Linked DNA regions of Arabidopsis thaliana. The protein of the gene in region 3 interacts with the protein of the main gene of each other region in a pairwise test. Each region holds a gene or a part of one and is shown on either strand. Other genes may lie near its edges.

What was found.
Region 1: the proteins of AT1G80000 (region 3) and EDA14 interact in a two-hybrid assay, tested with the Arabidopsis thaliana proteins (one large-scale study listed by BioGRID).
Region 2: the proteins of AT1G80000 (region 3) and AT2G03500 interact in a two-hybrid assay, tested with the Arabidopsis thaliana proteins (one large-scale study listed by BioGRID).
Region 4: the proteins of AT1G80000 (region 3) and AT3G19120 interact in a two-hybrid assay, tested with the Arabidopsis thaliana proteins (one large-scale study listed by BioGRID).

The regions. Positions count from the first base shown.
Region 1 is NC_003074.8:22,309,984-22,316,853, forward strand, and holds EDA14 (embryo sac development arrest 14), read right to left. Parts: upstream 4,445-6,870; 5' UTR 4,245-4,444; intron 4,039-4,244; 5' UTR 4,020-4,038; coding exon 3,964-4,019; intron 3,879-3,963; coding exon 3,788-3,878; intron 3,602-3,787; coding exon 3,510-3,601; intron 3,389-3,509; coding exon 3,295-3,388; intron 3,202-3,294; coding exon 3,122-3,201; intron 2,932-3,121; coding exon 2,851-2,931; intron 2,768-2,850; coding exon 2,668-2,767; intron 2,587-2,667; coding exon 2,494-2,586; 3' UTR 2,275-2,493; downstream 1-2,274. Other genes in the region: ARABIDILLO-2, read right to left, coding at 1-613; AT3G60370 (FKBP-like peptidyl-prolyl cis-trans isomerase family protein), read right to left, coding at 5,017-5,139, 5,399-5,475, 5,590-5,698, 5,828-5,937, 6,051-6,235, 6,319-6,394, 6,502-6,637.
Region 2 is NC_003071.7:1,055,976-1,063,956, forward strand, and holds AT2G03500 (Homeodomain-like superfamily protein), read left to right. Parts: upstream 1-3,569; 5' UTR 3,570-3,950; coding exon 3,951-4,149; intron 4,150-4,503; coding exon 4,504-5,076; intron 5,077-5,664; coding exon 5,665-5,741; intron 5,742-5,834; coding exon 5,835-6,284; 3' UTR 6,285-6,704; downstream 6,705-7,981. UniProt on the Arabidopsis thaliana protein: Transcription factor acting as a flowering repressor, directly repressing FT expression in a dosage-dependent manner in the leaf vasculature.
Region 3 is NC_003070.9:30,089,788-30,099,012, reverse strand, and holds AT1G80000 (CASC3/Barentsz eIF4AIII binding protein), read right to left. Parts: upstream 6,207-9,225; 5' UTR 5,819-6,206; coding exon 5,352-5,818; intron 5,041-5,351; coding exon 4,941-5,040; intron 4,776-4,940; coding exon 4,570-4,775; intron 4,485-4,569; coding exon 3,805-4,484; intron 3,582-3,804; coding exon 3,479-3,581; intron 3,241-3,478; coding exon 3,121-3,240; intron 2,721-3,120; coding exon 2,668-2,720; intron 2,537-2,667; coding exon 2,476-2,536; intron 2,345-2,475; coding exon of another isoform or gene 2,335-2,344; exon of another isoform or gene 2,299-2,334; coding exon 2,271-2,298; 3' UTR 2,108-2,270; intron 2,023-2,107; 3' UTR 1,690-2,022; downstream 1-1,689. Other genes in the region: FRS8 (FAR1-related sequence 8), read right to left, coding at 1-1,257, 1,362-1,448; AT1G79990 (coatomer subunit beta-2), read right to left, coding at 7,064-7,086, 7,365-7,530, 7,664-7,793, 8,034-8,140, 8,242-8,335, 8,418-8,614, 8,718-8,789, 8,874-8,988 and 1 more. UniProt on the Arabidopsis thaliana protein: Core component of the splicing-dependent multiprotein exon junction complex (EJC) deposited at splice junctions on mRNAs.
Region 4 is NC_003074.8:6,607,537-6,613,893, forward strand, and holds AT3G19120 (PIF / Ping-Pong family of plant transposase), read right to left. Parts: upstream 3,603-6,357; 5' UTR 3,483-3,602; coding exon 2,142-3,482; 3' UTR 1,814-2,141; downstream 1-1,813. Other genes in the region: AT3G19100 (Protein kinase superfamily protein), read left to right, coding at 1-369, 477-589, 697-804, 884-946, 1,041-1,208, 1,301-1,444; RBP47B (RNA-binding protein 47B), read right to left, coding at 3,862-3,978, 4,315-4,408, 4,522-4,652, 4,736-4,818, 4,995-5,478, 5,889-6,287.

The DNA.
Region 1 (6,870 bases), on a different chromosome or scaffold from region 3:
GGCAATGTTTGGCCAAAGATTCAATTGCCTCAGAACTAACATCTCTCATGCCAGAAACCCGTAGCTTCTTTAGTTTCGGACAGCAAAAGGCTATAACTCTTATAGCATCACTAGTGATCCTCTCACAGAAATCTGGTCCAAGTTGGAGGCTCTCAAGAGCTTCATGGCGTGCCGCAATCATAGACAATGTAGCATCTGTAATCTTCCTACAATAGTCGCCGCTAATTTCAAGCAGACTCCTTGCTTTGAGATGAATTATGGCATCAGCAGAGTCAACACCACGAAACCTAATCTTCTGAAGATCAACACACCTAGTTGCAAGAGAAGCTGCCATTGAAAGATCAAATTTGTGGGCTCGAAGATCCAATGAACTCCACAAAAAAGAAGAAGCACCAAGGCTTCTCCATGTCCTACAGGTCGAGGCTAAGCTAGCTCTATCGCGATAATTCAATCGAGTAAACAAATGAAACACTGTGTCATAAGGCAAACTAGTCCAATTCACATACTGTTGAACCTTAGGTGCTAAATCCTCAACTCCAATCACAGTATAACTTGGTGAATCAACCTTATACTTTCCATTATCCTCCACTCTCTGCCTCACCCTACGACTCATATCTTGATCAGATATAAATACACACTCTAACGAGTAATCAATCCCTTGCAGCTACCAAAATTAAAGCACTCTGTTTATAAAGACCATAATGATAAAATAAACGCAGATCCTACTCCACCTAGAAGAAAATCCAAACCTGCAGAACAAGAAGAAACAATAAGATCAAACAAGTCCCCAATTTGGAAAATTTAGATACTCAATGGCTCCAAAACTAAAATCCCATAGCAGATAAAAGAGAAATCAAATTCAACAAACAGAAAGAACTGAGGAATGCTCTCGCCGGATTCTGAGAAGAAAAACCCTCGAACAGAAAAGCGAGGAGAGACTTAAACAAATCTCTGACCTTTACTATGCAAATTCAATTCAGACAAACTCCATTGGAAATAACAATTGAAAGAGTGATGATGGTCGGAGAGAATTCAGACGAGCCCACAGAGAAACTGTTGTGACACGAAAAAAAAAAGGGCAAAAGAGCTTAAAGTAATCACCTTTGGAGAAAAAAGGAAGAACTTTATCTTCCCTGATTCCGAGAGACAGAGAAAGGAGGAAGAATTAGAGGAATTGGGCAATGAAGGTAAAGAGAGAGAGACGAGAAGGGCGGATGTTGAAACCACAGCTCATATAGGCATTGTAATTGTAACAAAGAGCTTCAATCACCTCCTTTGCACGGTACATTATATATTACCCAATTACCATTCCTCTTTTCTTCTCTTTTTTAAATCCTAACTTTTATTTTTGTCATTTTTTAAAAAACAATTTGATAAATAATTATTGTTCTAACCAGTGTTCTAAATTACGATAAACGTTTTTCTTGTGATATATTAGTATGTAAATAATTCACGATGACTTGTTATGAAAACTACTTGATTAGTATTAACAGAATTTTTGCACATTTATATGTATATTATATTAAAATTTATTTGAATTATAGTTGAAAATATAACAAATTTAACGGATAATCCGTAAAATTTAGCGTGTTTATATTGAGATACAGAAAAGTGGTGTATCATATCTTTCTTTCTTTTAGTTAGTCATTTTATTTTTTATCAATAATTTTAAAATGTTATATACTTTAAATCTTTTGGCTAAACATAATTAATTATAAGTTTATTTTATATAGACAATTAATAGGTTTCTGAAAAATTGGAACTAATAACGCATATCATAAACATAGGGGTAACATTTGTGTCTTATGCCTTTAATTAAAATGACTTTATAATGTTTTCTGAAATTATTTAAGACTAATTGTTTTTTAGTAGAAATAGCAAATATCATAAGCCAGTGCATTTGTGTTATATGCCAAAGATGGCTGTTTTTCTTTATAAGTTAGGATTTGATTCCAAATTTAAACTTGTACTAAAACAGCAATTGTACCAAATCATTTAAAGTCCCATTGCTTTTTGTTTTCTTTCTCTCTTTACATAAGAGTAAATAAATAATAAATTAAAAAGGCTGAACCAATATTTTTTGAGTCTTTTAAGTAACAAAATCTAAAACTTAAACAAAAACCAAAATTTAAAAGCTGAGTAAGATTTGCGTATTTTTGGTAAAAGCCAATCAGAAAGAAAAGGGCCCATTATTTGCTATTTACAAACAGTCTTTTTGTGTATACCGAACTTTATCTTAGTGGTAAAATTTTGAAGTCTTCAATCTTCTATTTTGGATTCATGTGTTTATATTTCGTCAATCACATTAGTAAAACTTTTCCAGATACGCAACAAAGAGCTTAAAGTAAACAGATATTGTCCCATCCAAAATTGTATGTAAAGTTCTGCAGGTTCTGGAGATCAAAAAAACTATAATAAAACTGCCTGCTATATAAACTTTAATAGAGATCAGAAAAATGATGTCAAGCTACACAACCATGAAAGCTTTTCTCTTCAGCGTTTTCTATCGGCGCGCCATTTGTATACCGCTTTACCATTTGGATTGAGCAGCTCGTCATCACGCAGCTTCCGTTTGCGACCCTTTTTCTGTCCATTAAAAGAGTTTAATCAGAGATGGTCTAGTTGCATACCAAGAAACAGTAATGTGTTCGGGGGACTGATGATAACCTGTAACTCCTTCTGCATTGACATATCCGTGTATAACTTCTCCAAATCTTTAGCCCTGCTCTTCCGCCCCTCGAGGTCTCTATAGGACCTATCCATTTTCCTGTTTTAAGAAAATAGAATACAATGACTATTGATTGTCCGTTTGATACCTTTGAAAACATCTAATTCATTTCAGATACATACTTTTTAATATCTTTCGGAATCTCTACTGTAGAGATATCACTTTTGCTTCTACCTTGTACCTCCAGTTCTCTAGCCTCCTCTCTGATAAAGGAACAACAGAGTTAAAAAAGAAGATTATAAGAAAACACAAACAATGTGGTACCGGTAATGTCTTTTAAATGTTAAGGTAAGGAGGATCAAATTTTGCAGTGTCCATATGACACATTCAAAATGAATGAGAAAATCACGAAAGCTACACCAAGTAAAGAAAGGACTAAAAGTTGGGATTAACCTGTCTTCTGCATAGTAAACATGTCTACGGCTTGACTGATCCCCAGTACATTGCAGCGATGCAGTCAGCTTGTCAATTTTCTACAAAAGATAAGAAGGAACAAAGAGAAAAACTGGATAAATATGATCGTAAGCAGAAAGCTCTTGGGGTGTGTATGAGGAAAGATAACTTACGTTTTTCTCACTCTGCCATTTTTGGAACACATATCCAATATCTTGAGTCTTCATAATCATAAGCTCTTCCGCAGAGTATTTATTTACCTCATCTCTGAAAACAATAACTTTGTCAAAATTTACAAACCAAGAAGAAAACGAGAAACCATGAGAATAGCAAAAGAGATAATAGTGAAAAGCAAAAAGAAGAAAACGAAGAGTTTCGATATGCTTACTTTGGTCTATGACGTCCATCAACTGTTTTACTATTAATCATCTTAAAGTTGAATTCATCTGGATTCTTGAATGCAGCCTTCTGCCTAAGTATCTGCAGTAAAGTAAAACGGTGTAAGAGAAACTGAACTCCCAACGATTTAGTTTCTTAGCTATCTCACAGATATCATCAATCAATCCCGTAAACTAACAAATGTCTACTTGAAAGACTTTATTAACATAATCTCGACAGTATAATCATAGGAGAGATGGAATTGAAAACAGAGAGTGTAATAGTTACCTTTAAAGTTTCCTGCTTTTTGTGATAAGCATTAGCTCGGATAATATAATCCTTATGCTTCTCGAGGATGCCAAACCTCTTCCTCGCTTCCCTGATGATACGTTTAAAAATCCAAACTTTAAGAAGAGAAACGAAGAAAAGAACAAAAAGGACACCTGAGAGCAATAATAGCTTACGGTTGAGATCGCTCCTTATGAGCAGGCCGTGGAATAGCATTACGCAGCGACGACATGTTGGATTTGCTCTTGACGCTGCAATTTCAGTCACAAAACTGTTTAGAATTAAGAGAGCTTAAAGATGATCTTAAGCTACTCGAGCTCATCAACTTAACGAATTGAAACTGAAACCCTAATCTGAAGTATGAATCTAATCCAACAATGCAACATTCTCAAGTCTAAACCTAACTATGCATTCGAACAGACGAAACGAAAGAAAAAAAGAAGCCAAAGATTCTCACGTGAAATACAGGGGAACCCTAGAAATTAGACGACGCCGAGAAGAAAGGTGAAAAGTAGAAGTCGCCGGGAACACAACAAATTTCACCGATGACCTGAAACTTGGTTTCTGGAAAGGAGTAGAGAAGTCGGCGAGAAGAAGAGTTTAGGGTTTTTTGGGGATAAAGAAAACTCAAACCGAACCTTCTAGCTGAGACTAAGGGTTTAGTGGATACGTCGCAATTACTCATTTACCCTTTTTATCGTTTTAGTTGCTTTACTTGCAAATTATAGTTTCCACACATAAAATGTCTTAACGTCTTTAGATGAAAATTTCGTAATTAACTTTCCAAATGTGATGAGCATTGCACATCTACCGTTCCAAATTTCAATGTATCTTTGTACAATTTATTATTTGTTTGGGGTGTTTCATAAAGAGTGCCAAAATTTGGGGTAGAAATTATAAAACTAACGAAACAATGCATTGCTTTAACTTGACAAACGCACAGATACAGAGAGACAGAAGATATCAAAAAGCTCCAAACGCTTAAAACGTGATCAACAAAGCAACAAAAGTAAACTACGATTATGAAAAAGGTCGAGACTTTACATGATCTTTATCTGTCTCTCTATGTAATTGTGCATCTCTACATGAAACCCACAAGATAAATGCCTAAGCAAAGAATAATTGTTCTTTTTGTTTCTTTGTAGTTCTCATCTGCCGTGCAGATTTAGAGTATTGAAGATTGAAGAATGCAGGTTCATTGAAGCTTAGTGATGACCATCATTTGGAAGTTAACTGCATGTGACATCTGAGTAGAAACCTATTATAGTCCTCCTCTCACAATTCTGGATACTGAGCAACTCCACGTCGAAAACTTCAAATTGCTTCGAGCTGAAGAAGGTCGAAGGTCCCACCTGGTTAGAGCCCAATGAACTTTGTTTTGTCAAAAATATGATCGAACCAAAGTGAAGACAGTTTTTACACAGTACAAGTCTAATCTACATTGGTTTAGATATGTCCCTAAACGAGCATGCTCAAGCTAGTAATTCCATTTGAAACATTGTTGATAGAGGGATGGTATATTCAACGGAATGGCTCAGCAAAAGTTTACCACTAGTCAGGTTTACAGTTCAGACAAGTGTATACTTGTAAGGAACAAGTAAGAACACTAACCGGAGGTCCCAATTCTGGAGGGATTATAATCCTTCTTCGCCCACCGGGCTTCATGTCACGAATTCCCATTTCAAATCCTGCATCATCATTATCCATATAGTATTAAAAATCTTCAATATGTGTTTCCTGTCAAAGAAGATTCTTCATTAACATCCTACTACTAAAGAGCCAAGTTAATGTCTTCTACTTGCCTGGAACAAGTGCATTGGTTCCCATGCGGATTCTAGCAGGAGAACCTTGTATGTAAGTACTATCTATTCGCCTTCCAGACTCATTGTAGCCAATGTAGTGAAAAGTCACCTGTCAAAATAACCATAAAACTCAATGATATCTTCAATTCTATATATCCAAGTAAAGAGCATACCAATTCCATAAATGATCTAACTTCAGATCCTAAGTTTAACTAATCTAACATAGAGGAAGTAGTACCTGCTGACCATCTTTTGGGAAATCACCTTGACCAACATTGAAATCCCGATATATGAGGCCAGAATCAGCCTTGATGTAATTATCAGAAGCTAATACCTTAACCTCAAAACCTGCACTATATCAGCAAAAACATAAACACAAACAAAAGGACAATAAGTTCTCATATTCTTCTTCCACTCAAGAATGAATAATACTCAAAGAAACAGTGAATAAAAGCTTAAACCTTCTCTAACAAAGTTAGGAAACTCGTCAGGAGCATTGTTCTCTCTCTGTATCCTCTTGTTCTGTTCTAGTAACCGTCTCTCATCATAAGGACTCTTTGATTTAGTCTTCGCAGATGAAGACAACGCTGGTAACAACAAACACGGCGAAGCAACTAAAACATAAACAAGACTTCTCCGACTCAAGCTGCAATTAAAAGACCAAGCTTTATCTCCAGAATCAAACCAAAAAAAGGAAAAAAAATTATCTCTCAAGATTGCAAATTTTACCATTGGTCTTTTGGTTCTTCACTCAATGAACAACATACCGAGCGATTGCTCCGAGATAATGACAGTTTTGTTTCACCTATAAGATTTTATGGAACAGTTTTGGTCACTTAACTAGTCTTATGGAACCAGCTTACTGAATCGTAAGATCAATAAGAGTTTTGAGAGATAGAGGGAAGAACTCACAGAGAAATGTAAGTCTTGGAGAGAGAGGAGTTGATAGAATCGTCACCATTGCTTCTCCCTCCGGCGATTCCTGCAAAAATCCAATGTTTATCCTAAAGTTTAATTTTGTAGATAAATTACATTTTACACCATCCATTTTCAGTTTATTATAATTTGGACCCACAATTCCTTTTGTTACCAATTTATCCGTGTGGTCATTGGTCAAACAAAGTTGACGAAAACTTTACTTGTGGTCTTGTGGACTCTTAACCAACTTGGTATTTTTGGACAATGACTCCGAGCAAAATTTAATAAGGTTAAAAGTTCATTTTTATTCAACAATATAAACTTCAAACAAAGAGAGTGACAACCAGATTCTCATCAACAATG
Region 2 (7,981 bases), on a different chromosome or scaffold from region 3:
ATCCCCTTTGTCTGTATTAAATACGGACTCTCGAATATTTCTCCACTTTCTTTTTTTCTTATATTCTTCCTCTTCTTTACATGTTATTCTTGGAGATATTATATATTTTGTATAACAAGTGTCTTGAAATCGGGATGTCAGATTGGCAACCCGCAATCCGATTATTAGCCTAGTCCTGTTATACCTAAAAACCCAAAATGTTTACCAAGGTTATACACTAAAATATTCGACAAAAACTTAAAATGTGAAGCCAGTTTTTCTCAATAATGCTTATACACTAGTAAATCTATAGTGCATGGTTTTAGAAATTAGGTACGTTTTTAAAACAAGAGATTTAATAATAGAGAAATACAAGAATATACCTAAGTCACTTAAAACTTATGTCAATACTATGCATTTTTTAAAAGCCTTTTTTTTTTCTTTGTCGGCTCGCAAAAGAATTCAATTTTCTACTTTTCTGGCGTCTAAAAGAGGATAAAGATACGAGTAGTCCAAGTTACGTTCCGTTCATCGTTTATATTATTTTCATGGTTTAGAATCACAATTTGTTTGATTATTGATGTGGTCTAATATATTCAGTCACATTGTTTTGCGGTCGGTTCTGAATTGGATCTAGGTTTGGTCTGGTTCGGTCCTATAGTTTTTTAATGATCAGTTTTATAAGAAATCATTGGCATAGTTTCTCCCATATAGACCATATTTGACCTAATATATAGTAATATTTGTTTCGGATTAGAAATCCTGTTTATATCCCCTATAATACTAATCTGACTTTAACTGAACCAGGTCGGTTCAGTCTGCAAAGTTTTTGACACTACAACATCTCTATTTGTTATTGAGATCACCATTGATTTTGTAAGAAAGGAGATATATAATTCCACTCTTATTTCGAATCATAGTTTAGAGGTCGTGATGACAAGGATGTTCAAATAATTGTTATTTCTGAATTTATAGAAAGTAACTAAAAATTTCAAATTTTTGGTTAATTAACAAGAGTTAAAGAGAATAAGGTACAATGATATTTGTACTTAAGAAAATATTAGCATATAGAATAATACACCATCACTTGAATTGAAAGAACTTTGAGGAAAATATGAAATATATATGAATTGGATATCCAAAATTTTAGGATATGCATGTCGGAGGGTCTGTCCGAAAATTTGATGTGTGGCATTAGATGCCAATTGGTTGCTTGAAACTATATATTATAAAAAAAATTATAAAAGAAAAGACAAGAGTAACAAACTTTTAAAATGCGATATCATACAAAATAAGTGAGTTCATTACTTATACAGTGATGAAAAACTGATTTTATTTGATAAGATTTTAAAATTAACTTGATCTTTTTCATCATAATTTTCTCAGAATTAATATACACATGTAACACAGAGTTACAGATATTGACCTCACTGGAACAACTAATAGTAGAATATTAGAAATAAGAAACATTTTTTGTAGGATCACTCTTACTGGAGTATAATTTATTGATTGAATGCGATGTTCCGATTAATTTTAGAAATTTAATTGGTCAATGGTATAATTGATAGTAATTAGAATATATATATTTATTTCAGCTTTTTTATCTATACGTCTAGACTATAATATCGTTGCAAGCAGGTTCTAACGTCATGTGTAGATCCTTTAAGCAGTTCTTGTAGCATCACTTGCATTTTCACGATCACGTAGCCTTATTGCTTAGTTCAATTTTTATTTTCTTTGACTGTGCCTTTAGAAAGGTCTGAGGGTGATCCTACAAAAAACTAGATAACTCGATATATAAGACCACATGTCAGAAACTTGGAAGGGTTTAGTGATTAGACGACTAAAACATCATAAGCTATCCAATTAGGAAAATTAAGTACTAATAAGAGGACGAGATTCTCACATCTCAAATACACTTTACATATGTAAAGCTTATTTTTGCTTCATTAGTTTTTAGAGATTAATGTTCTAGAAATGTTATTATATGAAAGCATAGAGCAACTAAACAATTACAACTTCTAAATGCTCTCTTATTTGCCTTGAATATAAATTTGATTGGGTAGAAAAAATCTTGTATCATCAAATCAAATTGATATATCCGCCCCGAATTTGTTTTAATATGCATATATCTAATAATTAATTTGTATTACATATGTGCATCAAATATTAAACAGAAGCATTTTAGAGAATTAATTTTATCAGGTCCACAATTAGTTCATCGGTTTTCAATGAAACCTAGATACGAAAAGAAATTTTGATAAGACTTTGAATTGCAAAAACTCTTTAAAAAAGTTTAAAATATTTCTAAGTAAGAAGAATCTTCTACCTTCCTGGCCACTTCACTAAAGTCCGGTGGGAAGATTCTGCGACTCTCAAACTTCTGTCAATATTATTTACTTAAGTGAATATCTGTCCTAGTTTATGGTAATAAATTAAATCAGATATTCCCTTTCTTTCTCTTTTTTGCATCCACTAAAATTTAGAATAATTATTCAACTTTTTTAAGAAATTCAATTTACAAAAAAATATTGATCAATCGTTATCTCTGTCTCTCTCTCTCGCCGTCGTGCAACTATAAATATAAAAATCTTGTGGCCTAATATGTGCTTCTTTGATTTATATTGAATCTCAATTCCTTTTGAAAATTTAAAATAATTAACTATATAAATTAAGAAGGTGGTAGAAGAATATTTGTTTTTCTGGCAACGACTATAAATTTCCCAAAATGTACTAAAACGTTCACAATTTATTCCTTTCACATAATTGCGTTGGTGATTCCATAATTTTATTTTAACTTTGTCGAATATATAAGATAATTAAGAACCAAATACCTGAAATGTTAGCTTAGATCTATTTTTCAGTCAACATGAGCTAAGATTTATAGGAGAATTAGGAAACATATTTTATCTTAAGAATTATGAGACTGAATTTACGAAAGTATAAGCTATGTGAAGTGGTGAACCAACAAAAGCAGAATCTGAGATTAAAAACAATATATCGCTTTATTAGAAATAATTTAAAAGTTTGTATTCTTACCCATTTGTTCTTTATAACAAGTTTCCATATATTCCCTTTTGCTCTGCTGCTTTATATCTTCCTCTTTTCTCCTTTAGCCTCTCTTTTCTCTTTCTTTCATATGGAATTATACATAGATTAATTTTCTGAAGAAGTGATTAAAAACTAAGCATTATAAGAGAAGATAAAAAAACAAATCAAATGGTTACTAATTTAATGATTTTACTAATATTTACCAAGCCATAGTTTTTTATATATTAACTATTTTGTTTAAGATTCATGAAGCCATATATGGTAGCATCAAAAGCCTTGATTATAAGCTTTTTGAGAAATGAGAGTCACACATGATACACCTTTAGTAATATTGACTCATTAGAAAATAAAAATAATTTATCTTTGTTATATTTTCTCAAATTTTGCTCAAACACAAGCAGCACTTGATGTAAAACAGTTTTTTTCCGAATAATTTTACATAATATTAAAAAAAATAAAAAAATATTGACTCATTAGAGAAGAGGAACGACTTCTAACAGTAAGAAGCCTCTCACTCTCTCTCTCTAAAAAATACACCTCCTTAGTCTCTCCCTCTCTCGATAGATATATGTGTGTGTGTGTGTGTGGTGACAGATCACATTATTCCGTTCCTTTGAATTGAGCCCTCTAAAAAGGACAGGAACCTCCTTGTGATCCTCCTTGTGTCCACAACCTAACATTTTATTCCCCTTTTCCTCTATCTTCTTCTTCATTCGCTCTTCCTCTCCAAACCCTAATTTCCAAAAACCCTGAAAATCTTTGAAATATTTCTGAAGAACCATATAGCATATACATATATCATCTGAAACTTGAAGGCACCACAAATTCTTCTTGATTCCTTGATCATCTATATTATATTTATATAATCAATAAATATTCTTCCTATACAGCGAGAGAGAGAGAGTATATAAGCTATAAATATGGCGTCCTCATCAGAACTAAGCTTGGATTGCAAGCCACAAAGCTACTCTATGCTTTTGAAATCCTTTGGAGATAACTTTCAGAGCGATCCAACCACACATAAGCTTGAAGATCTTCTCTCTCGCCTAGAACAAGAACGTCTCAAGATCGATGCCTTCAAACGCGAGCTTCCCCTTTGCATGCAACTCCTTAACAATGGTACATATATCCATTTACAATATTTAGATCTACGTATATATACTTGTGTATAATATGATCTTCAAATAATCCCTTTATTACCAAAAAAAACCTAGTGAACCATTAGTTTTTTGAATTTCTTTTCACTTTTTTTTTTTTGAAAAGATCTTTATTCATTAATTTAAGAATTTATTTCATAAAAATCAGAGCTTGCTTTTGATTTCTTTGAATCACAAAACTTTTGTTTCCTCCCAACACTGAAATCAACAAAACTAACTAAAGTGATTTTAAAGGTTATAAGGTTCATGTTATATCTGTTACTTTCATATTTTAAATTACTTTACCATCTTTAATTAGTTTGATTTTTTTTTCCAGCTGTGGAAGTTTACAAACAACAACTAGAAGCATATAGAGCAAATAGTAATAACAATAACCAAAGTGTTGGTACAAGACCAGTTCTCGAAGAGTTCATACCCTTAAGGAACCAACCCGAAAAGACAAACAACAAAGGAAGTAATTGGATGACGACTGCTCAGCTATGGAGCCAATCCGAAACCAAACCAAAAAACATTGATTCAACTACTGATCAATCTCTTCCCAAAGACGAGATTAATAGTAGTCCGAAACTCGGACATTTTGATGCAAAACAAAGAAATGGCAGCGGTGCTTTTCTTCCCTTCTCTAAGGAACAATCTTTGCCTGAATTAGCTCTATCCACGGAGGTCAAGAGGGTCTCTCCGACCAACGAACATACTAATGGCCAAGACGGTAATGATGAGAGCATGATCAACAATGATAATAACTATAATAATAATAATAATAACAATTCGAACAGCAATGGAGTTTCTTCTACAACGAGTCAAAGTAATAGAAAGGCACGACGTTGCTGGTCGCCGGACTTGCACCGGAGATTTGTCCAAGCTCTTCAAATGCTTGGTGGCTCGCAAGGTACAGATACACTTATTCTAATCAACTAAGTATTAATTTGAAGTAGCTTTACCATGGTTAATCTAAAAAAATTGTCAACTAATTAAAACGATTTTTTTAGTAGACATGATATTTGAGTCACCAAATACATACATCATTATCGTATACTGCATATTTTATACATGGCTAGTATTATCATTTGTGGTTTATTCGATATTTAGGTAATAATGAATATGGTATGGCAAATTGCCATGATTTCCATTTTGCTATTTTTATTTTTTTCAAAAGGCATATTATAAAGTTTTAGTTGGCGTTTTCTATAGTTTTTTCGGTTGATAAAAAACAGTACATAAAGTGAAATTGAATATACGATAGATCAACTTGAATCAACAAAAAAAAATGAGAGATCAACTTAAGTACTTAACAATTATTCAAATATATGTAGTTAGTTTCCAAATAAATTCTAATTCTAATTCTATTTTTTTCCGGTTTAGATATGGATTTAGTTTATTAAATATAGATTAAAATAACCTTGTTAACCTAATAAAAAGTGTTTAATTTTTGAATCGAACTTGTATCCGTATTTATATGTTGGTTATATCATTGCAGTGGCTACACCTAAACAAATAAGGGAACTCATGAAAGTTGATGGTTTGACCAATGATGAAGTCAAAAGCCATCTCCAGGTAACTTAAATCACAAGTCACCACAATATGCTTTACAACTTTTTTTAACTCATATTTAAGTACTTTACTGGTGTGTTGATTTTAAACAAACAGAAGTATCGGCTTCACACTAGAAGACCAAGCCCAAGCCCACAAACGTCAGGTGGGCCAGGTCCACATTTGGTGGTCCTAGGTGGCATATGGGTTCCACCGGAGTACACCTCCGCACATGGTGGCACTCCGACTCTCTACCACCACCAAGTCCACCACCACCATACCAACACGGCAGGGCCGCCTCCACCACACTTTTGCTCCTCTCAAGAATTCTACACAACTCCACCGCCTCCTCAGCCGCTCCACCACCACCACTTTCAAACGTTTAACGGTTCATCCGGTGGCACCGCCTCTACCGATTCTACTCATCATCAGGTGACGGACAGTCCCACAGTTGAAGGGAAGTCACCGGAGAGTGGTGGTGGAGAGAGAAAAGGGTTGGCTGCTCTTAGGGAAGAATGTGAAGATCACAGCAATATTAATGGAAGTGAAATAACTCTCAAATTCTAAAAAAAATAAAGATTCTTGATTAATTAATTAGAGTAATGAGATTTTAGGGTTAGGGTTTGTGGGTGCCTACGTAACTTATTTCATTGCTTGTATCTCTCTATATATTTTCTCAGTAGAAAATGAATCACAGGAGGCAGCGAATGTTTTTATCGAACATTATGAATATCATATCATCACTTAGAAAATTCATTTTGATCATGTTACTCTTATCGTTAGATAAAAACATGTATTCAAACTGGTAATCTCAAAGGGACTATCGTGTCTGTGTTTACTTTAGTTGGTTGATTATATGAATGGATAATGTGGATTGATCATATGAACTTGTGTAGGCGTTAACTATGTGTAAATTGATTAATTCATATGGCCTTTGTTTGTGTTATCAATGATATATATGAAAATTGTAGTGATGTTAAACATTTGAGCAGCTAAATGCTATATGTAAATTAATGATTTAATCGTTGTTTCCATTGTATATATATTTAGGTTCGATCATAACACAAGTCAAAATGACTTGCCGTTTAAAATTAAGACCATCATTAAAATTAGATTGTTGGAATCTCTTTGGTATTGCGGCAAATTTTCTAGTAATTGGCAATGTATAGTCTTCTTCGGTTTTAACTATCTACTATTTGTCCACAAATATTGCATTAAACGCCACAACAAATCTGAATATTTGATTGGCCGGTATGATGCATCTTCATGTGCTAGATATGGAGTGGTGGTCCTTGGAATTTTGCTCTAAAAGTCAGCGATATTCTTTATTTTCATTACATAAACTAGTCGACGCACCACTTCTGCATTTAGTTTTTCATAATCATATTATATACTCTAATATTTGCAACCTAAGAAAAAACCATTTGATGGAAAAAAATTAGGAAAAAAGAATGTCAAAAATTTGGAAGGTGTTAGAATCATTTTTGTTATGAGACAGTATTTAGGTTGGTGTAAATCTTGGTTTGAAACTTGATTGGTACATCTCCAAACATGTTTTAGTTTAGTCAGAATAATTTTAAATGAAGAATGATAATTGATAAAAGATATATTTTCTAGAAAAGGCCACAAAGAAATCGAAACTTTATTCGCTATTTCTTCTTCTTTTAAGTTAACAAAATAAGAATATTCTCATTCAATATCGGTGGCTAATTCAGCTTACAAAAGAATTTTGACCTTTCACATCTCTTGAAAACACTTTCATAAACAAGTCCATTTCAAATTTTCATTTGTAAACTAATATAAATTATATGTGACAAACTGACCAACTAATCTAAAATTAGTAATTTAGAAATTAAGCGTTGCAAAGCATGAAAAGTTAAACGACGATCAAATCGAGACAACAGAATCTGCAGAAGAAACCATCAAAACCAATGTTGGGTTAAGTTTTGACCTGACCCTTGGGTTAATAATTACCGTTTTTAAGTATAAAATAAAAGACACCACTACCTACGAAAAAATAATTATGAATTAACTGATACAAATAGAAAGTTTTTAATTACCAAACTTCGAATGTATCGTGCACCAACCACAAAGGACTAGAGGACCAGGTCAGCATTAACTCATAGGTTATGCAAAAATTTCTATAATTTGTCAATTCCCAACTTTCATTTTCCTTCGTACATTATCAGATGAACACTAAAACATATTGATTTGCTTTTATTGAGTCTACTACCATTATGGTCTCACGATGAAATCACGACTAT
Region 3 (9,225 bases):
TGTTTCAAATTCTTCGACCTTGAGACAACCGTAGACTACTCTGTTAAGTGCCATAGGGAACAAGTCAGAATCTTGTAGTTGGACAACACTCTGACAGATGTTGTGCAGGACGTGGGTCAAGCTAAGACGATGATGAGCCCTTGGAAAAACTTCAGAGACAGCGGTCCGCATTGCCTTGCACTGTTCCGTGATAAAGATCTGTGGGGGACGGCCTAACATGCAGGTTAGCCACGCTCTGAAGAGCCAGACATAGGTCTCAAAGCTCTGATCAGCAAGCAAACCACAGCCGAGCAAGATTGTATCTCCATGGTGGTTAATTCCAACAAAGGCCACAAGGGGAAGCTCGTATGCGTTAGATAAACAAGTGGTGTCGAACAGAAGAACGTCGCCAAAGTGAGAGTATGCAGCCCTAGCTCGAGCGTCAATCCAAAAGACATTCCTGAGACTCCCGTCGTCGGCAAGGTCCATGAGGTAAAGAAAGTTGGGGCTGGAAAGCTGAATTTGGAAGAAGAAATCCTGCAAGGCCCTGAAACCCCCTCTGAGCTCCAAGCGCCTTGAAGATTGGAAGTGATCAAGGCTGAGATCGCTGGTCTCCCCGCTAGAGAGTGAAGTTCCAAGAGCGGGTGGTGTGTCAAGGGCAAGGGTTCGATACAATTTGATAGTCCGGACTTGGACATGGGGAGGTGGTTCGGGATTTGTCTTAGTTGCAGGAGAAGCTGAGGAGGAGGATTTCTTGTGAGACTTGGAATTGTGGGCACGTTGAGGATCAAAGGAGTGGTTGTGGTCGAGTTTGACTTGATCAACTTTCCATCGATCAAAGTGGATGAGTCGAAGGCGAATCATGGCCTGGCAGCCGGTGCGGGTCTCCTTTCTCCGGGAGTGAGCATCTTTAAGCAGCTTGAAACCTTGGCAGTTGCAACACAAGACAGCACCACGTTTCTCCTTGCTGTTACGCTTAGTCCAGGAGGACTTGACGCGGATAGCAAAACCGAGCTCACGGGCGTATGAGTTGTAGAAACTGTAAGCATCATCGTAGGACTCGAACTCCATTCCAGGAGTAGGAGGAGGAGCCATCAAACACTTTTCATTAGCAAAAGCGTTTTCGTCGCATCCAGTTTCTTCTTCGTGATTAGGTGCGATATGAAGCAAGCCGTGACAACAGGCGTCATCATCATCTTCAAGGTCAATATCGAGATCAGGGATTGGAGGAGGAGCAAGGTCATCATCATCATCATCAACAACCAGCTGCTCTTCCATCTGAAGACCATCAAATTCAAAATTGAAATCGAAATCGGAAACCCAAATTGAAATCAAAATTTGTAGTAAATAGAGAGAGAGAAAGGAAGACAGTAGAAACCAACCGCCGAGATGCAGAGATTAGGGTTGGGCGAGAGAGAGTGGTCGGACGGTGACGGTGACGGTGAGATGTAGACGCTATTACCGATCATCTTCCACTAAACTAAAAACTAAAATCAACAAACAAACAACAACAATCGTTTCATCTCAGAGGACGCTGAGCTACCTGAATCAACGGAGACTCTATCCCTTTTTTTTTTTTTGCTGCGCCAAGGAATAAAGTTTCTATACACTTGGTTTGTTGCATCTATTCTATGCGGTCTGTTTTGTTTTTGTCGCATAACTAAATAACCAGAGCGGAGGCATGTCTTTATATATATGGTAACAATTCCTCAATGACTCATTTCTCACGAATCGGGTAAATTTGACTGAGCACCACCACTATCCCCTTGCGTAAAATATAAAACATAGACAACTAACTACCATCAAAACTCAACATGGGCAATTCTTGGGGGGACTTCGCAGGCGTACGAATAGGGCACACAACTTTTGATAAAGAAGTTGACAAACGAAAACAGAATAACACATATCAACATTACAAAATATCAATTTGAACCCAAACGGACAAAAGAATAAATTACAGATGAAGGACGCCCACGGCTCAAGCTCAAGCTCTCATAACAACGAAAACAAAACAAAAATTCTTTTCAATTGCACAACAACCTCCTGAAAACAAAACAGCAAACACAAGTTCAAATTATAATGTGGTTAAAACCTCTCTTCAATTGGTATCTTGAGAGAAATTGCGTACCTAATAAAAATAGGTAACAATAATAGCAGCCCAAACGGCTTCATAAAGCAGTTGGAGAAGCACCAAGGGCCTGCTGCTCCTAAGGAGCTCTTCTCTCTCACCCTCCTCCTTTCACTCCACTTAGTCAAATTAGATGACCTTCTTCCTTTCCACTCTTCTTTACTCACTTGCTAAAGCTCATCTCCGAGTATCTGCACATCCCTCGTCAACATGTGCTCGTTAGTGTTTCATTTCATCCTGGACCAATATTAACATTTCATTTCCACAAATATCTGTATCCAACTACTCCTGTGGTACTTTGATTTCAAGGTGGTTTCACGTCACACTAACACTGACCGATAAATAAACTAGATTGCTTCAAAACTCACCTACGAGGCTGCTTGTTTGGGTTGCTATTTGACCGTTGAGAATTCCCATTGTTCGTAACCTCTACATCAATAAACCCCCATACGAATCAGTCTCTCCATGTAATCATTCAAATTTCTTATTCGCCAAAACACAACAAAATCTTCTGAATCCATTATAACAACCCCATTTAATTGGCAAGAGTTATTACTTACCAGGTCTCTCCATGGGCTCTTCATCATTAGGATTATTGGAACTGTTCTCTTGGCTGCAACAAAAAATCAAAAATATAAGGTAATTGGGTACTTGAGCTCAAATTATATGCTTTACTAGACGCTCATAATCAGAGATGATTGACATGGTTACATGAGTGCCCAACCAAGAAAGTGAGTCTGTTTAATGAAAACTACATGTTTCTGGGTGTACATAGTCGAGAAACTACTAATCTAAGCACTTAAGAAATGTAAATCTAACAGGTAACAAGCATTTTGCAGTGGGTCTAGAATAAGAGGAACCACAAATCTAAAATCTCACATACGTTACTTAGTTAAGGGCTTAAAGCTGCATTCCCATACTACTCTTCCTCTAAGGTAAAAAGCAAAGAGTCTACACATATGCATATGGAAATGACATGTTGATTAACAATACTGAGAAAATTATTTCTAAACCTGGACGATCCGGCAGAGGAAGGTAACCCTGGTTTGTCTGCTTGGTAAGAACCATCAAGGACAGTATAAGGTGGACAATATGAACCCCCTAATGCTCCAGGGCCAGCCAAAATTGGCAGCCTGTCAATAATTTAAGAAAATAATAGCAGTAATAAGGACCTACTATAGATAGAGAAATAGGGAAATCAAACAAAAAACAAACAGCAGACGAGTGAAAGCAATAATTCAGGTTCTGTTTGGGCTAGTAAAAGACTAGTTACAAGATTAAACATCCTCTCAAATTACAAAAGCATGCAGCAAGTCAACTAAGAATGCACCAAATATATAACTTTTAAAACATAGCTGTGGAACTGCATACCATGTCATCTCAGGATTTCCGGTACCATGTTCTGGTTGGAAATAACCTGGAAGAGCCATTCCAAAAGTTGGAACCCCACCATGCTGACCACCGAATTGCATAACTGAACATGAAAATGAAAACAAACAAGTTTAAACTAGTCAGGCGTGCATATTAGCACCTGTACAAAAAGGTGCCGTTCTCAAGCGGCCCTAGACATGGGCAACCAGGCCAAGCGGCTCAGCATCAATAGCTCTCAATTTCACTAGCATGCATAGATTGATTCTGAAAGATGTCTTTCAACCATTACAATGTAGGATGAACAATGACATTCAAGAACAACTTACCAGGTAGAAAAGCAGGGAAATTTGGATTGCCGTGACCAGCTGCCATCCCGGCAGGGCCCATAAACTGTGTCCCTCCATACATAAAAGATCCCCTTCCACTAGGTTGGAGAGACCCTTTTCCCTTGGCAACCAAAGCACCTGTTTCTACGGCTGACTCTATTTCACCAGAAAGATACGGATTTTCTGATGATCCGGTTTTTGGAGGAGAAGAAGGCAGCAAACTGATAACAGCCGAATGTTGATTAAAAACCTGACCAGGAAGTTGAGTACAGCTCTGGTCAGTGCCTTTAGGCATTCCACGGATTTGCATCGGCGAAGAAACTTTGTCACCTTGATTAGGAGATTGCTGGTAAAGCACTTGCCCATGAGGAGGTACACCTCTACCATGACTTGTAGTCTGAGCAGTGCGTCCCCACAAGGAGCTGGATTTTGTATTCCCAAACTTCTTTCCAGTCGGATTAGGGTTTTCATTAATGTGCAGCCTACCCATGCCAGCTTGTACATCCTTTTGTGCCAAGTTATTGTTGGATCTTGAAGGATAAAATGGAGGAGAAGCTGAATTTAAACTTGAAGCAAATACATTCTTTTTGGCTTGGATGGCTTCAGTCTCTAAGGTAGCTGTTTCTGTTGGTGGACGCCCTAAATCAACGTGTGACACTTCCACAGACGAATTTTGGGACCTAAAGATTCCGTAAAAAGACACAACAATTAGAGACCTAGAGCCTTCATGTGTTGACTAGAGAGGAAACAAAATTAAGGACTCACTGTTTGGTTTGCACAGAAGGTGCTTGATTCCCATTTCTCAATGCAACCTCATATCTTCTGGCCCCCCTCCCTCTCGTGACAGCCTTCGGAAACTGATTTTGGTGTCCATTGCCAGTAAATTCTTTAGAATTGTTCCCCCGAGACTGTCCACGGTCCTGACCCCTACCCTGACCACGACCTCTGCCTCGGCCTCTCGAAGTCCTCCTCTATGTTCACAAGTTTAATTAATCAGCTTTCAAAAGGAAAAAAAAAAGGAAAAAGAAAAAAGAGGTGGCAAATGTATAAACACAGCAAGAGGAAACAAGTCGATGAATACAAATATATTTATGAAAAGGAGAGAAAGAGAAAGAGAGATGATCAGAGAAAAGTACATCATATTGCTGTTTCTGTGTATTCATTTCCTCGAATTTGTCATGTCCCCACTTTCTTTCATCTCTGGATTGCCAGAGCCTCCTACCACCACGCATTCGCCTACAGAAATAAAAAACGAAAACCTATATCGGTTGGCATTACCATGTAACTAAACAGAATGTTAAATGGAAAAATAGCAGTGTGATGGCATCTCGGGTAGATTCATACATAAAGATTCACAATCAAAGTTAAAACATAAAACCAAAGCAGTTGTTCCAATCTATCTGAACTCTGAAGTACATCATGAGATTGAATGACGGAAAGTCGTTTGCTAATTTCACCTATCAATGTACTCTACCTCAATAGTAGATAGATACATTTGCATAGTTTGGACAAAACACTACCTCCTCATAGAATCAAAAAGAGTTTACCTATTAGAGGCGGCATCCAATTCCTGAAATCTGTCATCATGCATATAGAAAGCTCCAGCAGTAGGCACTGCAAAAGGTTCCTTCTTCTTTTGTTCCTCTCCATCCACAAGATCAGTGGCGGCAGAGTCATCGGTCCCATTGCCGGCGACAATTGTCTTGTCATTATTATCCGCAATGTATTCGACATGGTCATCAACTTGTCCATAATCACCATCTTCCTCTTCGTCGTCATCATCACCATAACTATCTTCTATGTGCAATCCTTCATTATCATCAGAGTCGACAACAACAACACCACTGTGTTCATCGGAATGAATCTGGATTGCTGCTCGCAGCTTATCATGGTCGTCCGCTTCTTCATCATCCTCATCATCATCGCTGGCTTCTCTCCTCCGTGTAGCCAAGGAGCGGTTCAACTCGTCGGGATCACTCTCATAGTCGGAGTCTTCAACGCCATCAGGGGCCATCAATCCCTCTAAATCGGAGGGCCAAACCGAAAACCTAGAAGAGGAATAAATTGAATAGAGCAATCAATCGGATATGGGACAAACTAGTATATCTCTACGGAGAGAGACGACGATACCAGGAGATCAGAGCGAGAGAATCTCCTCAGTGTTTCTTCATGAGAGATCCGCAGATAGATAGATAGAGAGATAGATAATTATAATAAGAAAAAACCTCTTAAAGATTATTAAGATTGATTGGGTTTACTTTGTAGACGGGAAGACTCTTTCCGTTGGGTCTTCTTATCAAATCGAATGGGTTTTTTACTACTTGTAGACTGATGATGATGCACCTACAACATTTGACGCTTGAGTTCTTTTTTCCCAGTTTTTGGGAATTATCCAACTTGACTACTTTATTAACTTTTTTTTAACCAACAATACTAATTGATAAGTTTAATACAAATTAGCTCTACCTTATCACTTTTTCTCTCAACTATTGTTGTCTATTAATCCTGACAAAAGTGACCATGTTAATATAAATAAAACATGTGGTTTCTATATAAATCAAGGGTATATAACTCCATTGGTCAACAACTTGAATATCAATCAAAACCGGAAAATTAACTTCCATAGGTGCATGCAAGTGTGTAACTCAATGGAGTAGTTGAACCTATACACAGTTTGCAGTAAGAAGCAACAAGAAAATTTAAAATCATTTCCAAGACAAAATGGGTAGAAGAATAATGATATGGTGATGGTGATTACGGACAGTGGAAGAATGCAAGGAACTTTGTTTTGGGTCCTTGTTTGCTTTGAGAGATGTTTCGAGATGCGTCTCCTCCACAATACTAATAATAATGCACCATGCGTTATCCTCTGGCTCTTTCCCAACTTATCCCTTCACTTTGATTATTTCCAATTAAGTTTTTTGCTACTGCTATTGAGTTTTGCAAAAAAAAAAAAGATATCAACTACATAACCTATTGAATCGAAAGTCAAAACATATTATATGGGTGAAATCTCAGTTCAAAACAGATATTCTACAGGTGAAATCTCTCATAAGTTAAAGCTACATAAGAGTCCCAAAACCCCCTTTTTTTTTAATATGTATCTGTATTAAAAGCACAAAGCGGAAGCTATCAATAGATCAGTTTTTTAACAATGGAAACTAATCTCTCTCTGTGCTGCCTCATTTCTCTGCTGAATGTATCAAGTTTCAAAGCCAAGAAAATATCTATCTGTGTATGTCTTCACTCTTCACCAACCCTACTCTTGTGGCGGTGTTAGAACTGTACAACAAACAAATATTTAATCAGTCCACGGATTGATAAAAAAGTTAATGGCATAGAGAAGCACTATTTAAAAGACAGTCAACATCAAAAGTAAGATGATCAGTAAGACGAAGATGGGAGGCAGACAGATGAGGAAACATTGATGGACAGATGCAAACGCAAATCCTATGATATATGTGCAGATGGCAAAAGGATATTTTGGTGCAGCGACATCTTATAATCAATTGATAACCACAAATGCTATAAGGCTGATGCGGTTCCTTCACTAATCTTACCCCACTGTTCTTCAGACTCGTTACCATTAACTAGCACAGCACCATCCGTAGAGTCAGCGTCCACCACAACAGCCTCTTCTTCCACATTCTGCTGTCTCCCATCACTACTCTCTTCCTGACGATCCTCCTCCTCCTCTTCCTCTCCATCTTCCCCCTCTTCCCCAACCTGTTCACAACAAATGAAGCAGCGACAGTAGAATTAATGATCCTACCATTGTCCACCATGGCCAAGACCATTGGATTGGATATCATGGGTAAAAGACAATCCTCTTCAATGCATGTAATGTAAACATGCATACCTCGTCGAGAACATCCCCTTGCTCAAGTCGACCCTCTTCCTCTATTTGCATAATTCTAAAAGCATCCACTAAAGTTGTATGATCTCTGTCTGCATGACTACAATAATCCCCAGCAGGAGGATGGACGCCCCTGCAAGATAAGTCAACAAAAATACTTTGTTTATGAGGATCCTGAAAAAATGAAATCGACATTCGGCTTATGTTTATACGGGTATAAATTCAAATTATAAGCAAATACATGACGGCTACCTTGCTATGTAATACAGACACATGACTCTAAATGGCTTAAGTCCCACAATTCAATTAAAAAGGTTTCCTCATAAGCACTGTTTTTAAGAATAAGCTAATGACGGCAACGACGAAAAGATACCTCGTCTCTGCAGCTCTATTTTCAAGGGACAGGGCGACTTGCCACTCCTCAAAGAGATTGGGATACTCTTCGGGATCAGCCAGAGATTCAGCAGCCTTTGGACTTATCTATATCCAGATTGACAGAGGATGAAGAAAAATTGTGGATATCTCAACAGGCAAGGTTTGAAATTCAATCACAAGGTGCATCGGATGTGTCTACCACTAACCTTGGTCAAATCGTTTCTCCACAATGCCACTATTTCGGAGACCTTGCTTGGAAGGTACGATCTCGCCATCAGAGCGGCTTCAGGTATTCGATTACTGTAACCATATTAATATCAGCATAGACGTAATTAGTTGCGGGAATATATGTTCCACATGTAAGAAATAGTAAACAATGTACCTTTCCACCAACAGATGCAGGCAGTCTTCTACTTGACCCAACATGAACAAGCAAAGAAAAGCGACATTGTTCTTTCCTTGCTCTTTTGCAAGTGCTGCCAGCTTCATCATTCCATCTGCATCTCCCAATGAAGAATAAAGCAGCAGCAGACCACTCAAATCCATAGCATGCCTCATGCATTCCTCAGCCATATCCAGCTAAGTAGTCCAAGCATGGGAAGGAAAATGAAAAGAAAAATACATGTTAGCTTTAACCTTTGTAAGAATCCTAGAACACTGATTGCAGCTAAAAAATGGTCACCTTCCCACTTGACATAGCTAATTCTCCAAGTTGCTTCCATTTAGATTCATTTTGTGCCTCTACAGCAATGTCCTGTCAAAAAATAAGAATCGAGTAAAAACATATCGGTAAGTCATGGAAATAAAGCTTCTCAAATGGTAAAAACTACAGACTAACCTTTGCGACAGCCAATCTACCGAGCTGTATGGCCAACTCAAATCTGTAGTCAGGATCAGTTGCTACTTCTAGAGCATCTTCTGTCATGCCACGTGACTCCAAAAAGTGTGCCACGCTGACAAAACGAACAGGATTTTGAAGTCGAGAATCAGAAAAGTAGGAATGCGTGAATTTAGGAAAACAATTTAAACCATTATGTGACCTTGGATACATGTTTACTAACACCATAATCCAGCTGTAACCATAATGCGAGGGAAAGCACATTCTCATACCTATTATGGTGCTCCTTAGGAATTGAAGGTAAGACTTCATTAGCCTGTTCCAAATCTCCACGCATCACAAGAGTCTTGTA
Region 4 (6,357 bases), on a different chromosome or scaffold from region 3:
TGTACACTTCCAAGGAGGAGAATTCTATGTTGAAAGTCATAGATTTTGGCTTATCGGACTTTGTCAGACCAGACGAAAGACTAAATGATATAGTGGGAAGTGCATATTACGTAGCCCCTGAAGTTCTACACAGATCTTATACCACAGAAGCGGATGTATGGAGCATAGGAGTCATAGCATACATTCTCCTATGTGGAAGCCGTCCTTTTTGGGCAAGAACTGAATCAGGAATTTTCAGAGCAGTTCTAAAAGCTGATCCCAGTTTTGATGAACCTCCTTGGCCTTCGTTATCCTTTGAGGCAAAAGATTTTGTTAAGAGATTATTGTACAAGGACCCTCGGAAAAGAATGACTGCATCTCAAGCTTTGAGTCAGTAATCTCTAAAATATCCACATCTTTCTATATTTATCTTCTGTTTCTAGCTTTTCATGAATCACCAGTTGAAGTTACTCCACGTTTTTTTCCGGTTTTTACAGTGCATCCTTGGATCGCGGGTTATAAGAAAATAGATATCCCATTTGATATTCTGATCTTCAAGCAGATCAAAGCATACTTGAGATCTTCGTCTTTGCGCAAAGCTGCTTTGATGGTACATTTTGCTTCTAACCTTTTTTACTGTTTCCAAACAACATTTAAGGATGTGTTTGATATTTATTACCTTTGTATCTAGTTTGCTAACTCTTTTATTCTCTCCAGGCTCTGTCCAAGACATTAACTACCGATGAACTTCTTTATCTGAAAGCGCAGTTTGCACACTTAGCACCCAACAAAAATGGCCTCATCACTTTAGATAGCATCAGACTGGTATGTGCCTTCTCTTCCTCTCTGTCTCTCTCTGGTAGAAAGCAAACAGCTCAAAGCTAGATTTATTTCTGTTGGACAGGCACTTGCGACAAATGCAACAGAAGCAATGAAGGAATCACGGATCCCGGACTTTCTTGCATTGGTATTGTCTCCTTTCTGTTCTTGTCCTTTTGCTTAATCTGTTTAAGATACAATCCAAGGTTGGTTAACGAAAGTTTGGTGTTGGGAAATGACAGTTAAATGGACTTCAATACAAAGGGATGGATTTTGAAGAGTTTTGTGCAGCTTCCATTAGCGTTCATCAGCATGAGTCTCTTGATTGTTGGGAGCAGAGCATTCGTCATGCTTATGAGCTATTTGAAATGAATGGAAACCGAGTTATCGTCATCGAAGAACTCGCTTCTGTAAGTTTATAAGAAATTCGACACTTGCTTCTGTCATGCTTAACAATTTATTCAGCTAATTCCTAAACGAAGGGAACATAAATGTTTTGTAGGAACTTGGTGTTGGATCATCCATCCCGGTTCATACCATTCTAAATGACTGGATAAGACATACTGACGGGAAGCTGAGTTTCTTGGGTTTTGTCAAACTGCTGCACGGTGTCTCGACTCGACAATCTTTAGCGAAAACGCGATGAGGAAAGTGACTCGGTGTTATAACGGATTCGAAAGAGGAAGAACATACAACTGCAAGAAGCAAATGGGTGGATTGGGGTTGGGAATTGGAATTTTTTTCAGGACCCATTCCTATGTTTATAGTGTTAGAAAAAGAATGCTAAGTTCCGACAAAGAAAGAGAGTATCCAGAAAAATCCGACAGGCCTGGAGAGTTGTATAATAAGATGATAATCCACAGTCGTGTTCTTCCAAATCATGGAAGACAGATATTAAGAACATCCCTTTCTCTTTTCATTTGGCTGTCTCCATTTTTTCCAGGAAAAAGATTCAGATTCCATTCACAATGTGCCACAAAGCAAATCATAAAAACCCATTCCTAAGTCACAAAACTTACAGTAACAGAGAGCTATTAATATTTCAAATTCGGAAAAACTTGCTTCTCAAGATTCCATAATCCATATCAATAGAAGTCATACATTTCATTCTCAAAAGGTGTTACAGAACAAACCATAAACCCATTCCTAAGTTACAAAACTGACAGTTGGGATGGCTAGGCAACAAAGTCAGCTTTTTAACATTTCTGAATCCTCAAACTTTCTTCTCAAGAGGATTGAATCTACAATGCTATCTAAAGTTCTAAACACTTGAAAGCATCTGCTTCTTACATGATAACAAAGATAGAAAGCTCCATTTTTTGACCAAGATCTGTTCATGTCTTTTACCTCGAGGAGAGTCTCTGGTGTAAATCTTCTGCCAATGCTTGCCTCAAACTCTCCCCGTAATAGTAAAACTGCCTCTCACTCTCCAAAACTCTTGCAGGCGTTCCAGCTTCATCTGGATCCTTCCAAATCTCCGGTTCAGGTTCTCTAGCAATCTGACAAAGATTATGCAACACACAACAAGCCACAATAGTCTGAGGAGCATGGTTCACACCAACATTCAAACTCTGAAGAATCTTCCATCTAGCCTTGAGCAATCCAATAGCTTCCACCACCACTGACCTTCCTTTCATCAACATTCCATCGAATAGATTCTCCGGTGGCGTACCAGAGCCATTTGGTGAAAATGGAGTCATCAGGAATGAGAGAAGAGGATAACACCAATCTCCAACAATGTATGGTCTCACATGGTGACCTCTAATATTGATAACTTTCTCCCAAACAATGTCTCCTGAAGTAAGCCTCTTATATAGAAGACTATCTCTGAAATGAGAAGAGTCGTCTTCTCCACCTGGAGCTTTCACACAAACGTCCCAAAAGATCTTCTTGTGATCAGCAACAACCTGAAGCAAAACGGCGTCGTATCCGTACTTGCAACCGTAAATGTTTCTAGGGTTTAGTTTCGTGCGGCGTCTGAGCTTCACCGGAGTACTATCAATGGCGCCGCAAATGTTGGGGAGAGAGGTGAGTTCTTCGAATCCCTGAGTCGTTTCGATCAATCTCCGTTTTCCGACGGGGATTTTGATGAATTCTGGATATAGCTTGGTGGCTAAGAGACGTGTGACCATGTTTGTGATCTTGGAGATGAGGTATGGATCTAGTGAGTAGCGAGAAGCTAGGGTTTTAGCTGAGCAGCCATGAGCGAGACGAGAGAGGACCATAGCGACGGCGTAATCGGCGGGGAGAGAGAGATTTGAAGCGGTGATGAATGGTTTGAGCTTGTCGACGACGGTGATGAAGACTGGGTAGGAAAGACCGTACAATGAGCGCCAACGAGCGTCGCGGAGAGGCGCATCGAGTGACCAGATGTGGTCTGTGGTTAGGGCACGGAAGGCAGCGACGGAGTAATCGCCGTCGGCAAGAGGCGGAGGAGGGGAAGGGGAAGGTGATTCTGAGGAAGATGAGGATTCGGTTGAAGATCTGTTGACGGCGAGGAAGGAGAGGAGAGATGCGAGAGTGAAGAAGAGTAAAGGCGCGGCGGAGGAAGTGGAGAGGAGGGAGGAAGGTGTGGTTGAAGACTGTGAAGATGTGGATGCGGAAGAGAAGAGAGTGCTTGTAGGATCTAATGAGTTTTGGAGATGGAGAAGATGTGAGAGCATCGCCATGAAAGCTTCTTCCATCTTCACTCTCCGATTTTTTTCTCTCCGGAGAGGTTGAGAGTAGAAGAAAAACTGAAGAAGTGAGAGAGAAAGGGCTAATAGCTAAAAATTTAAAATTAATGTGAGTTAATAAATATAATTTTAAAGTTTTGGGGTTGTTTGTTTAATTTCAGAAAGTTTTGGGCTTATAAGCAATTCGTAGAAGGTAAGCGGAATTTTGATCCAACAAGTTGCAACCATTTATATTAGTCTGAGACAAACCAGTAACCAAAATTTTTGAATCTCCTCCAAACAACAAGTCTATCAAAATCAAATCCATCTAACAAAATTCTTCTTTCGACTACAGGTTTTAGCTTTGATATGTGAAACCATGATGAAGATGATCACTTGATGAGTCTCTTCAATTCTCCCCATGATAGTTGTTGGAGTCGTGGTGGTTAGCATATCCTCCTCCATTGTTGTAACCATGTCCTCGTGAGTATCCTCCATTCCACTGCTGCCCTGAGTCTCCTCTCCACTGCCACAAGTTGAACACATTATGAGAACTAAAAAGAAATCTATTGCCAGCAGAACCAATTTGGTTAAGTCCTAGACCAAAACATGTCGACATAAGACCATGTTCAGGGTTGGTGACACAAGTTGGACATGGAGACATGTATTAGATATTCTCCCACTTGCATAAGTCAAAATAGAAAACGAAGGGAAGGTGCTAGATTCCACCAGCTATTATTGTCAACCACTGACTTTACTTTTAATAACAAAACAAACAACTATTCACAAAGTTTGACCCTAGCAAAATACTCAATTTACTCTTCTACTGATAGAATGCATCAACTCCAAAGTGAAATTTTACCTGCTTGTTTGGGCTTCGTCCCCAGGAGAGTCTGACAGTGTTCTTGCCGATGACTGTCCCGTTCAAACTCTCGATAGCATCTTCAGCACTCTTCCTGTCAAAACCAAAGGCAAGTCGCTTTGAATTACTCGCTATGAGATAAGCACCTACAGGTTGCTCAATCATATGATTGCCAAGCCAACACTACTAACTAGATGAAGACAGCACCTGTCAGCAAATTGGACAAATCCACATCCTTTCCCTACTGGGATCTTCACTGAAACAACCTCTCCAAACTGGGAAAAAGGTTGTCTGAGGTCTTCATCAATAACATCAGGGTCAATGCCGCCAACAAATATCTGCAGTAGAATAACCTAAGATGAGCAGCAAGAACATATAGAGCTTGAATGATGCTGACATATAACTAAATATGACAACTCACTGTTGCGTTAGTTGATTCGCCATCAGACTGCGAGCCATAACCCATGGAACCATTTGATCCATGTCCACCAGCCAGAATCACAGCTATTCCAATGAAAACATAAAATCTTTATAGTTCAAAAACTTTGTTGAATGCAACAAGTTGTTAGCTCTAGAGTCCTATGGATTAAAACTGGCTCACCTCTCGCTTAAAACTAGTACACTTAAATAGAAAGAATCAGAGGGTAAAACTAGTTGCAGAGAGAAGTATGAAAAGAAACCTTGTGAAGAATGTTGTTGCTGATTAGCAATCGCTCTTTTGGGAGTTGCAATACCTACACGCATTTGCCTGTTCGAACAGTAAGCTCCATTCATTTCTGTCAAAGCCCTTGACCTCTCATTTTCATCACCGAACCTCACAAAACCATAACCTTTGGACCGGCCGGTGTTGGAATCAATCACAACTTTGGCGCTTTTGACAGAAGGATATCTATCAGAAAAGGTCTCATGCAATAAAACGTCAGTGACATCTGGAGACAAGTCTCCCACAAAAACAGATAGGTCTGGACCATTTTCCACTGCTCTTTTTTCACCAGTACTAAAAGATGCCCAGTTTATACGGAAGGGTTGGTCCGAGTTTGGCATCACTGAACCACTATAGTTCTGAAGAACTTCTTCAGCTGCAGCACGTGAAAGAAACTCAACAAACCCATACCCTTCTGATTGAGAAGTGAGCTTGTTACGTATAACTTTCACAGAAGAAACCTGCTCATCACAAAAAAAAACAAGAAACTTCAGAGAAAGAACAAAACAGAACACATGTATAACTGGATATAAGTTTATTCATGAAAAGTGAAAATCTTATGCAATCATTCTCTTTCATACCAGAAAAGTTTTAACTAAACGTGGCAAGGTACAAGAGTACTTTTTGCCTAACGAAATATGAACTTGTCCTGTCCTTTTCAGGTCAAAGTTGTTCTCCATTACCCTATTTGTTTCTATATCCATTGGATCTAATCTAATCCAACTAACTAGTTTTTTAAAATAGCTACTTGGTTTAACAATGAATCAAAACACAAGAACATGTCAATGATTTGCAAAAAGGATGAATTTTTAACCATATTTACAAGTAACAATCTAAATCCAAAACAGAGTACCAATGAACAAGATAATACCTCGCCGGTGTGAGAAAAGCAAGAATGGAGATAAGTCTCATCCATCCAATGAAGAAGATCACCAACCCAAAGAGTCTTGACATCATCTCCAGATCCACGGTCAATAGCCTTGTGTTGCTGGTGCTGGTGCTGTTGATAAGACCCGTATTGGTGAAGCTGAGGATGATGCTGCTGATAAGGACCTTGATTATACGGAACATATTGATGAGGATACATCAGCATCTGTTGCTGCTGCATCATCATCATCGCCGCCGCTGGTGGATATTGCATGGCAGCCATCCACTGTTGCTGTTGCTGTTGCTGCTGCTGCCACTGCTGAGGTGGAGGAGGGGTTTGTTGATTCGGCGGTGTGGCTCCGGAAGTTGCCAACGTCGAATCTGAGCCGTTGGTTGTCTGCATCTTGATCCGATCTGATCTCCGGAAAGGGAAAACAGAGTCTCCGAGTTGTTTTAGATTCAAGAGTTTCGAG